Linked DNA regions of Arabidopsis thaliana. The protein of the gene in region 1 interacts with the protein of each later gene in a pairwise test. Each region holds a gene or a part of one and is shown on either strand. Other genes may lie near its edges.

The links. The genes of interacting proteins can lie anywhere in the genome.
Region 2: the proteins of IBR3 (region 1) and AT5G46030 interact in a two-hybrid assay, tested with the Arabidopsis thaliana proteins (one large-scale study listed by BioGRID).

The regions. Positions count from the first base shown.
Region 1 is NC_003074.8:2,144,229-2,151,351, reverse strand, and holds IBR3 (acyl-CoA dehydrogenase-like protein), read right to left. Parts: upstream 5,110-7,123; 5' UTR 4,819-5,109; coding exon 4,684-4,818; intron 4,596-4,683; coding exon 4,461-4,595; intron 4,249-4,460; coding exon 4,108-4,248; intron 3,996-4,107; coding exon 3,864-3,995; intron 3,749-3,863; coding exon 3,563-3,748; intron 3,483-3,562; coding exon 3,405-3,482; intron 3,316-3,404; coding exon 3,196-3,315; intron 3,081-3,195; coding exon 2,982-3,080; intron 2,901-2,981; coding exon 2,783-2,900; intron 2,710-2,782; coding exon 2,468-2,709; intron 2,388-2,467; coding exon 2,190-2,387; intron 2,105-2,189; coding exon 1,962-2,104; intron 1,792-1,961; coding exon 1,707-1,791; intron 1,620-1,706; coding exon 1,410-1,619; intron 1,311-1,409; coding exon 1,158-1,310; intron 1,088-1,157; coding exon 983-1,087; intron 893-982; coding exon 698-892; 3' UTR 501-697; downstream 1-500. Other genes in the region: BRCC36B (Mov34/MPN/PAD-1 family protein), read left to right, coding at 65-119, 203-325; MORF3 (plastid developmental protein DAG), read left to right, coding at 5,609-5,992, 6,092-6,185, 6,440-6,505, 6,598-6,788; AT3G06780 (glycine-rich protein), read right to left, coding at 7,113-7,123. UniProt on the Arabidopsis thaliana protein: Involved with IBR1 and IBR10 in the peroxisomal beta-oxidation of indole-3-butyric acid (IBA) to form indole-3-acetic acid (IAA), a biologically active auxin. May be responsible for catalyzing the first step in IBA-CoA beta-oxidation.
Region 2 is NC_003076.8:18,668,513-18,671,999, forward strand, and holds AT5G46030 (transcription elongation factor-like protein), read left to right. Parts: upstream 1-1,538; 5' UTR 1,539-1,727; exon of another isoform or gene 1,728-2,007; 5' UTR 2,008-2,018; coding exon 2,019-2,131; intron 2,132-2,205; coding exon 2,206-2,276; intron 2,277-2,363; coding exon 2,364-2,385; intron 2,386-2,469; coding exon 2,470-2,626; 3' UTR 2,627-2,884; downstream 2,885-3,487. Other genes in the region: AT5G46040 (Major facilitator superfamily protein), read right to left, coding at 2,885-3,487. UniProt on the Arabidopsis thaliana protein: Transcription elongation factor implicated in the maintenance of proper chromatin structure in actively transcribed regions.

The DNA of each region.
Region 1 (7,123 bases):
AAGCGTGTTAAAACATTTGATACGTGGTTTTGTCATTCGTTATATGAACTTCATGCTTTTGCAGCTTGAGTCCTGCCATTAACGCACTTCAAGATAGGCAGAAGGAGAACAAGATCCGGGTATGTGTCTCCTCATAAATAAAGCTCTCTCATGGATGATGCTTTTTTTTGGTTGGGTCTAAAACCTGTTGTGTGTTGTGCAGTTAGCAATGCTGATGGATGAAGCTGAGGTTTTGGAGGCACAAAAACTTAAAGGAGCAGAGACAAGCCGGAGACCATCTCATCTGGTTCACGGTTCTGGCAGCCGAAGCAGAAGAGGATCGTAGAAAGACCTGCAACTAAAGACACATGCCCGTCTTCTTTGTGTATATTTCTATTTGGACATTTGTTTTCTTACATTGTATTATTTTGACCAGACTCCATCGCTTTGTTGTTGTTTAGAATCTGATCCACTTTTGGAAGAACCAAAAAAGAAGAATGAGAAGAACATTATTTTTGTGACTTTAGTTTAAGATACGTTTTCGTAGTAAGATTTAATATTATAAAGTATTAACATTATGAAACAGATAAGATCTAGTAGTAAATTTATTCAGATTTACTGTTTGTACTAAAAGACCCAAGAACAACTTTATTAATGATGTAAAAAAAAAAAACTGATATCTTATTCTGAGAATCGAATTCGCATATCCCAAAACGCTTTAAAGCTTTGAAGCTCTTTGCAGTTCTAACTTGCCAATGGTCCCAAGATGAACCTCATCAGGTCCATCAGCAATCCTCAGTGTTCTAGCTGTAGCCCACAAATGCGCTAAAACTGTGTCCGAGGATACACCGGCTGCTCCATGAACTTGTATTGCCGTGTCTAGTACCTTCAATGCCATGTTTGGAGCTGCAACCTGAGTACCAAAATGATTTTGCTTCTTCAAGATCTGTATTTGTCAATTTCTGGCGCAAAACAAATGTCACCAAAATACAACAGTTTTTACCTTGGCCATTGCGAGAATTCCTCGAGCTTTTTTGTTTCCAAATTTATCAAGATGATCAGCAGCTTCTAGAACCAACAATCGGGTTCCTTCTAGCTCTACCCGTAACTGTATCAGACAACCACTCATATAAGAAGAACATAAGAAGCAATTGGGAGATAAAAGCAGTGTCGTTTACCTTTGCAAGATCAGAGACGAAAGAACCGTGCTGCGCAATGAACTTCCCAAAAGTTTTTCTACTCAGAGCTCTTTGAGCCATTAGCTCCATTCCACGCTCTGCTGCACCTATTAGTCTCATGCAATGGTGCAGTCTTCCAGGGCCTAACCTACCCTAATATAACAAACAACAACGCAAGCAACCGATAAATACACAATCCTTACACTCTTTGTTACTGCAAGCCCTGAATCTGTGAATCTTTTGTAGTATTACCTGAGCAATCTCGAATCCTCGGCCTTCTCCAAGGAGAATGTTCTTCGCCGGGACAACCACATTTTCAAAAGAAATTTCAGCATGTCCATGAGGTGCGTCATCAAAACCAAACACTGTGAGAGGCCTCTTCACACTTATACCTGGAGTCCGCATGTCCACTAATATCATAGACTGCTGCTTATGTTTTGGGGCGTTGAAATCAGTTTTTCCCTATATAGCACAGATATGAATTCATGTGTGTGTATTTACATATATAGATAGATTAAGAGAGAAATAGAACAAGGAAAGAGAACTAACCATGAGAATAAGGACTCTGCACCTGGGATCCATAGCTCCACTTGTCCACCATTTTGTGCCATTAATGACGTATGAATCACCTTGTCTATATCAACATCAGAATTAGCTATAAGGAACATTGCGGACTGAGTCTCATTTTTTGGGAGTTACCAGTAGAAAAATTGAAGATGACATATAGCTTTCAAATGTTTTCATTTTTTTGTTCAGTTGAGAATTCGAATGAAAGTAGATATCAATATAAAGAAAATCTCTTACCTTCGGATAGAGCATTCAATATTGGTTGCATCAGACGATGCAACTTGTGGCTCAGTCATAGCAAATCCAGAACGAATTCTTCCCTCGAGCAACGGAATAAGCCATTCAGAAATTTGTTCTTTGTTACCATACCGCAGTATCACCTACAAGATAGTACAGATTATATAAATACAAGTAACAAGCAATGAGACAACTCTTGGAACGGTAAACAACATCAGGCTTTTATACCTCCATGTTTCCAGTATCTGGTGCACCACAGTTAAACACCTGTGGAGCCCAAACAGAACGACCCATGATCTCACAAAGGTAACCATACTCCAGGTTCGTGAGGCCCTCACCAAACAATTGATCAAAAGACTTGCCCGAGAGGTTATGTTTATTCTCGGTAGCCGCCAGTTCTCTTCTAGCTCTAGCAGCACTATCTACCTGCAAGAACCAAGAATCAATAAGTACAGTCTCAATCAGGGTAAAAGTAATAAGAGATTTGTAGCGAAAAAGATGCATACAGGAACAAATAAGTTCCATAGGCCTTCTCTCTTTGCCATTTCCTTTAACTTTTCCTCCTGAGGGTGAACGGTCCATCGCATATCTGATTGAGCAAGTTTGGAGAACTCGTTTTCCATTGGGTAGATATGAGTTTCCATAAACTTGATCAACTTCTGCCTTAACTCCAATACTTTTCTGTTGGGGATGAATCTCCCGCTTCCATCCACAAGGCTTTCATACGACGGAGACACGTCTCTTTGAACTGCATCCATATATAAGAAATGTAAAATAAACAGTTATCCTTAACAAACTTGAATCTCAAAGAGGTCGATTACCAGATGGAGGGTGTTCTGGAAGAACATTTTCACGTGCAATATAACCCAAGGCAGACTCTACAAGCTCATTAGCTTGAACCCCTGTATTTCGCGCTCTTTCACCGGCAGAAGCATTCCCCTGCATGATCAACACAATGTCAATGGCTCTACAACTGCATAATAAAGAATCTTAGAATTCAAAAATATGCCCGGGGAATACCATTAACCATCTACTGTACACCCCTGTGTAGATTGAAGCAGCCCGAAATAAGGAGAACGCTACGTAGAACTTCCAGTTTGCAGCAGGCCATGGTTTTCCCTAAAGTTCATTTGCCAATATGTCACTACAACAGAAATTGAGAAAATATAGGCAATGTACAAGGAACACCTGACTTGATTCCTTTTAAAGACTACATGTTGTTGCAGGACAATACCGATGCAGAACAGTATTCTAAGAGAAATTCTGGCATCGAAAGCATTCCTTCTGGAAGCCCAGTAGTTTCAAAACCTTCACTAACATGCTCCTTATCGAGCTGAACATTCACAATGTAATGCTGCCAACACAAATGAACTGTATATCAGAGCAGGAAGCAAAGAAAACTGCTTTATGAGTACAATACAACAAACAAGAATAGGTTATTACCATGCAGCTGTATGCAACATCACACATTTGGTTCCCAAGCGTGGACAATTCCCAGTCAATTATTCCAATAACTCGATCCTACAGTTTAAGATATTTTCAGTTAAGTCTCCGAGACTATCCAAGGATCAGAAAACAAAAGATCTTGAAAGTATTAAGACCTCAGAAGGATGAAAAACGAGATTGTCAATGCGAAAGTCTCCATGGACAAGGCCTGATGTTGCTCCAGTTGAATCTTCCGCGGGGATGTTTTTGCGTAACCAATCAACAAGCTCAAACATCTTTGGATTCCTTTCAGGTTTACCTTCACTTGTTGAAGCCAAATATTGTTTGAACCACCTATCTATCTGAAATGGAGGTATCCAAAAGAAAAAACTTTAGCAAGAGCATATAAGCATTAAGAGAACATCAAACTAGTGAGTAGTGATTTGGAAATTCACCAGCCCCAAATAAAGAACAAACCTGTCTTTTGCAGTAATTGCCTCGCCGACCATATTTCTCAAGACCAATGGCATCCACATCAGCAGAGTGAAGAGATGCCAAGGCTTTGGCGGTTGCACGATAGATCGCATTTCTCCTTTCAGGTGCTACATTCTAAATCAAAACCGATGAAACACACACAAATTTACACCTTTCGTTTACAATGAGTCACATCTCAAGCTAAAAAAACCGTACATACACATTCACATAACAGAGAATATCTTACCGGCAACTTTGGATCAATGAAAATACGTCCTTCCATAAACTCCATAATGTAAAAAGCAGTCCCAATGACAGCAGGGTCAGTGCATAAGCAGAAGACTTTAGGAACAGGAACCTGTGTATGTTCACCTAAAGCCCGAAGCACCTACATAAACCAACCACCATCAAAGTATTAAGCAAAAAAAGCATCTACCTTTAGTTGATACCGTATCTCTTATAAGCAGCATCACAAAAAGTTACAATGATTCTGCATTTCAAAACGGTACTAGAAACAACAAAATTTCATCTTCTTCAAAAATCGAGTATGAACAGTTACAATGAATTTTACAGAGGTAAAGATTATTAATTGATTGATACCTGAAACTCTCGATCAACAGCATGAGCAGATTGAAGAAGCTTGCCAGGAGGCTTCTTCCTCAAAACGTATCGTTTCAAGGAACTCCCTGAGCCAACCTCTATCAGAAACGTTGGATTCGACTGCCCATGTCCGAACTGTATGTAAACCAAACCAAAACAAAACACAGTCAGATAAAAGTTTCTTTCTTACCGGAGAAAAAACCTCGGCGATTGGAAAACATACCTGTGAGACTTTGAATTGGGAAGGGTTGGTCGGAAAGCCAGAGACGTTGTCGGCGGCAAAACGAAACAAGGCATCGTGATCGAAACGGTGAGCTGATTGGATACGTGTCACAAGATCGCCCGTGCTGCTTCCCATGATGTTCCTTCACTCTCCTCTATCTCGCTCTGCTCCTCAGAGATTCATCAACAAGAATAGCTCTCTAAAACACAAATACACGCATTCATACCAACAATTCCATTTACGGAAAGTCGCATAACCTTTCTTTTGGATAATTTTCTTTTTACTTTTGACCTTACAGCAATTTCAGAAATGTTTATCTACTTTTCTTATTTTTGGAGAGATAATTCTATGTTTTCTTTTTTTATAAATAGTAAATACAGTAACCATTTTGATTTTGATAATCATCGTTATTATCGTCATTGTGATTTTATATGCATCCAAAAAAAGCCAAAGATAATTACTAATTACTAACCATATATAGGTTGGAAAAGTTATCCATGAATTAACTTGATGGACATTTTGCTAACTCAAATCAAAATTTTAGATTAGGTGATTTGACTTAGGACGTCATATTCACATTAAGAAAGCTAATACAAAATGAATACGTTTTATAGCTAACGAGGACGAAATTTTCTTTCTGAAAACACTTAAGAATGAACAAACAATTTGACAAGCGATAATTGAAACATTTTTTTAACACTGAAAGTGTTTCAATTAGGAGTGTTGAAGTATTTGACAAGAAGATTTAAAGTATTTTTCTGTTGGGAAACTTTTAACTACTAAACTAAGGAATTTAATGTAGAGAAATTTTTTAATAGCCCATCTAAAAAGTATAAATCAAAGGCCCACTAAGCCCATATAGTTTCTCAAAGCTTCTGCAAAGAGAAGGACCGAAGAAGAACAGAAGCCGAAACCCTCACCGGCGATGGCTCTTATCAGCACACGGCGAACATTATCGACACTCCTAAACAAAACCCTCTCTTCCTCTACTTCATATTCTTCTTCATTTCCTACGCTCTCTTCTCGTTCTCGATTCGCCATGCCTCTAATTGAAAAGGTTTCCTCTTCCCGAACCAGCCTGGGCCCGTGTTACATCTCGACCCGACCCAAGACATCCGGGTCCGGATACTCGCCGCTGAATGATCCTTCGCCGAATTGGAGCAACCGTCCGCCGAAGGAGACGATTCTTCTTGATGGGTGCGATTATGAGCACTGGCTCATCGTCATGGAGTTCACTGATCCTAAACCTACTGAAGAAGAGATGATCAATTCTTATGTCAAAACCTTAACTTCCGTCCTTGGCTGGCAAGTTCCTTTTCATTTGATTTTGACTCTCAAATGTTTTCTTGTGCATTTGGGGATTGACGGATTTGCATTTTGTGGGTAATAATGGTTAAACTATAGTGAGGAAGAGGCCAAGAAGAAGATTTACTCTGTTTGTACTTCGACCTACACTGGCTTTGGTGCTTTGATCTCTGAAGAGCTCTCTTGCAAAGTCAAAGGTATCAACTTCTCCATATTTGCAATTAGGTTTTTAAGCCTTTTTTGCTCTGACATAGCTTTTCTAGTTGTTTACTTATGATGTTGAGATTTATCGTAAAAGGCTTTCTCTGTTTGGTACTGCTCTGTTCAACAGCTAGGAGGAAACTTCTCTTGATCTTTGTTTTATCGCAGTTATTGTCTGTCTCTAGTACTATAAAATGAGAACATATTTTACTGTTTGAGAAATCTGATCTAGAGTTGTGTGATTCATTAGCATTGCCTGGTGTTCTCTGGGTGCTGCCGGATTCCTATCTCGATGTACCAAACAAAGACTACGGAGGTGTGTAACGTTTGTAGATTTTGTCTGAATGATTGGGTACTGAGATATGGTTCTTAATACTGATACCATCTGTCTTTGGCTCTCATGTTCAGGTGACTTGTACGTTGAAGGAAAGGTCATACCCAGACCACAGTACAGGTTCACGGAACAGCGTCATACTAGACCCCGTCCTAGGCCAAGGTATGATAGGCGCCGTGAGACAATGCAGGTTGAGAGGAGAGAGCCATCCATGGGTCTTCATTCTCCAGTAAATCCGGGAGAGTTCAACAAGCCCAGTGCTTAATATTAAACATGAACAATGCATTATGTAATGGATGGAGTTTATTAGGATTATGGTATTTACATGCTTGTCTTAAACACTCATGTGAGAGACTTTTCAGTTTTTATCCACTTAATCAAACAAATCAATCATCATTCATGTCTCTAATGATGACTAAACACTACTCTAAACAGAACAAATTATAAAAATCTAATGTGAACTTGCGAAGGAGAAATTAAATAAATATGTACAATGTAATATATATACACACGAGAGATCATATGATGTAATTGGAACCGAGATTAAGAATACTTTTAACCAGGAATCATCACCACGACCACGAATTTGTCAGCATACCG
Region 2 (3,487 bases), on another chromosome or scaffold:
TCTTACATGTTAAGAGTAAAAGATGAAGAATTGGAGAAGCATGTCTAACATCCTAAAAACAAGCTATATCCGGTTGATTTGCTACGATTTTGTTTTTGTGAAACGGTGGCTGTAAAGCGGTGAAAAACTTTGCTGTTCTCCTCTAGTATAAACATTGACCTTTATGATGGTTCTACGACTTAGATCGAGTTGGTCTCCAATGTTAATGTTCATCGTACTATTAAAGGCCACAAAATGTTGATCATCGTGAGATTATACCGTGTATCACTTTCTTCTATAATTCCAGAAATTCTTATACAAACACATATTTAATGTCCACGCGCTAATGACCATATGGTAATATTCTCGTGGCATCAATATATTGTCTTAAAGGTAGAGATCTCTGCAAATTGAAAGAAAAATCAACAAATAATTTATCCAGTATAGATTGTCCATTTAAACTTGTCCAAACGGTTCACTTTTATATTTGCCCTTAAAGTAATGAAAAGAAATTGTACCAATTTGCCCTTAAAGTAATGCAGACGCAAATAACTTATAAATGAAGCTCTCCTTTTTTAGTCATGGCCGTTCACTCCAGATGAGATCGTGTCTGAGAAACTATCATTTTTTATCTTCTCTGTCTTCCATGTTTTTTTTTTTTCATCATTTTCATTTCCTTTTTCAAAATCATCAATCATGGTGGTTCTCTATAATTCTTACAAATCATAGAAATTCTGAGATTATCTCAAAATTCTCTATCATAACTTAAAAACGAAGGATATATTAAGAATCAACAACAGAACATTGCTGCTACAATTGATCTTCTTACACGCTTTATATACTTAAACTTGAGTACTTGGACACTCATCAATGGACAACTATGCTTCAGATGTGAGTTACTAGATGACCACTTGGACTAGAGTGCTTGGACACTTATCAATGGACAACTATGCCTCAAATGTGAGTTATTAGATGACCATTTGGACTTGAATGCTTGGACACTCATCAATGGACAACTATGCCTCAGATGAAGTTACATCGACAATGGCCTTTTTGCTGCTACTCGCGTTCTCAACATCACGAACCGTTTCAAGCCCAGATTGCTTAGAAGGTAACTGATCATGGTTAACATCCTCACTTTTCATTGTAATCGATGACAGAGATTCCTTAATCAAGGAGAGAAATAAATGGAACCAAATCAAATAATTGTTGAGAGACAGGGAAGATGATGATAAATCATATGAAATTGGGCTTTTAGTTTTGATTTGGAATATTGAGATTCCCGTAAAAAATTGGTTTTGATTTTGGAAAGAGAGAGAAATAAAGACGATGGAGAAAAGAGTTGAGAGAGAAAATGAGGAGAAAGCGTTGTGGTTCAGAGGGCAATTTGGGAATTTTGATTTGGTAAAGTGCCTTCTCCTTTCAAAGTGCCTAAACGGGTAAATAGTTTTCTAAAAGTGTCTTATAATGTAATAATCTCAATAAACAATTCAAAGCTGTATACCATTCAAGCCCATTATTCAAAATTTTGTTTGACTAATACTATTCAATCGGGTCTATGGGCCTCAGAAAATAATAAATGGGCCTTAAATACTTGGAAACAATGGATAGATCGATCTCAACTTTAAAATGCGTCCAAAAATATAAACAAACAAACATCTCTCGCCGTCAGGTTACATCTATCGCCACCGCAAAGAGACCACCGTCTCCTCCGCAATCTTCATAACCTAAACAACACTCATCCCCTGGTAAGCTCAATTCTCTAATCAATTCAATCTCCTGTGATGTCGATCTGTTTCTACTCAAGTTCAATCTCACGAATCCCTTCTTTGTTCTGTAAATTAGGGTTTCACGATTTGTGTGTCTAGGGATTCAAGATCCCTAATATCTGATCATCTAGTAATTGTGAAAGTATTGATTTTTGTTCTTTTGATTTGAGTTTAGCAATTATTGAGATTTCTTTGAAGTTGAATACCTTTTCTCAATCATTATAAAAGTATTGATTTTTATGTGTGTTTTGTGGCAAAGGTACTTAAACAATGGGAAAGAGGAAATCAAGAGCAAAGCCTGCTCCTACGAAGCGAATGGATAAGCTTGACACAATCTTTAGTTGTCCTTTCTGCAATCACGGGTCTAGTGTCGAATGCATCATGTAAGATGAATCACAATATGTGAATGAAAACAATTGAAATCATTCACTGAATCCTTTGTTGTTTGTTTTCTCAGTGATATGAAGCATCTGATTGGTAAAGCAGCTTGTAGAATCTGTGAAGAAAGCTTTAGTACTACTATCACAGGTTTCTTCGATCTTTCAAGTCGATATAGAATCGGGTTTTGTGGTTTACGTATCTGATCATTCTTTTTTTTTGTTCTGGTTCTTGTAGCTTTGACTGAAGCTATAGACATGTAAGTTACACATCTATTTTCAACATTATGTTTTGGCTTTTGTATTTCTCTAAAATCTCTCTGGTGTCTTCAAAATGAATGCAGTTATAGCGAATGGATCGATGAGTGCGAGAGGGTTAATACCGCGGAAGATGATGTTGTGCAAGAAGAGGAAGAAGAAGTAGAAGAGGAAGAAGAAGAGGAAGAAGAGGAGGATGATGAAGATGACCATGTCTCTGTCAAAAGGAAGTATAACTTCTGAGACGAGTGTTTTATCGAAAATCATGTAAGTCGTCGTCTTAGAGTTATCTGCTTTATGTTGTAATATCTATCTGATGAAATCACAAGAACAATCTTTAGTGTTTTCTCAGTGTCTGATAGAGAAACATACATTTAAGTGAACAATCTTTAATCACAATAACAGTGTATGATTATGATTTGTAAGTGGATTTAAGGCTTTGCTTAATTGGTTCCAATCCATACATTTTATTACAACCAAATAAAAACCTAATGTCTTTCCTTACTCATTGTAGTTATCTACCATATTTGGTTCTTTCTGTTCTACGTTTGCTGATTGCGTAACATCAGCTCTGTACTCATAAAATCTAATTACAACCAAGAAGAGGATGAAGTTAAGCAAATTAAGTACCGCGAAGAACATGTAATAGTTATCCAGCCTAGACTCATTCAAGTTGTTTTGAATCCATCCTCTTCCCTGCTTCTTTGTTATCTGAGACACTGACGAAAGCAAAATGCTGCTCATGAAATACCCGACTGCCATACTTGTGCTCGTATATGATGTCCCGAGGCTTTTCATACTCTCTGGTGCTTGATCGTAGAAAAACTCCAGCTTTGCTATTTCTATGAAAGCATCTGCCAAACCCATTAGTACATACTGTGGAAGCAATGTGAAAATGCTCAAAGGAATTGGTACAGCGGTCTGGTGGGTTAGCCCGTGTTCAGCAGCGACCTTGAGCCTATACCGTTCGGTTATGGACGCGATGATCATGATTAGGATGTGAAGGATCATACCGATTCCCATTCGCTGAAGCAATGTGATACCTCTTGGATTTCCGGTTAGTTTTCTCATGAACTTAACAAAGACACGGTCGTATATGACTAT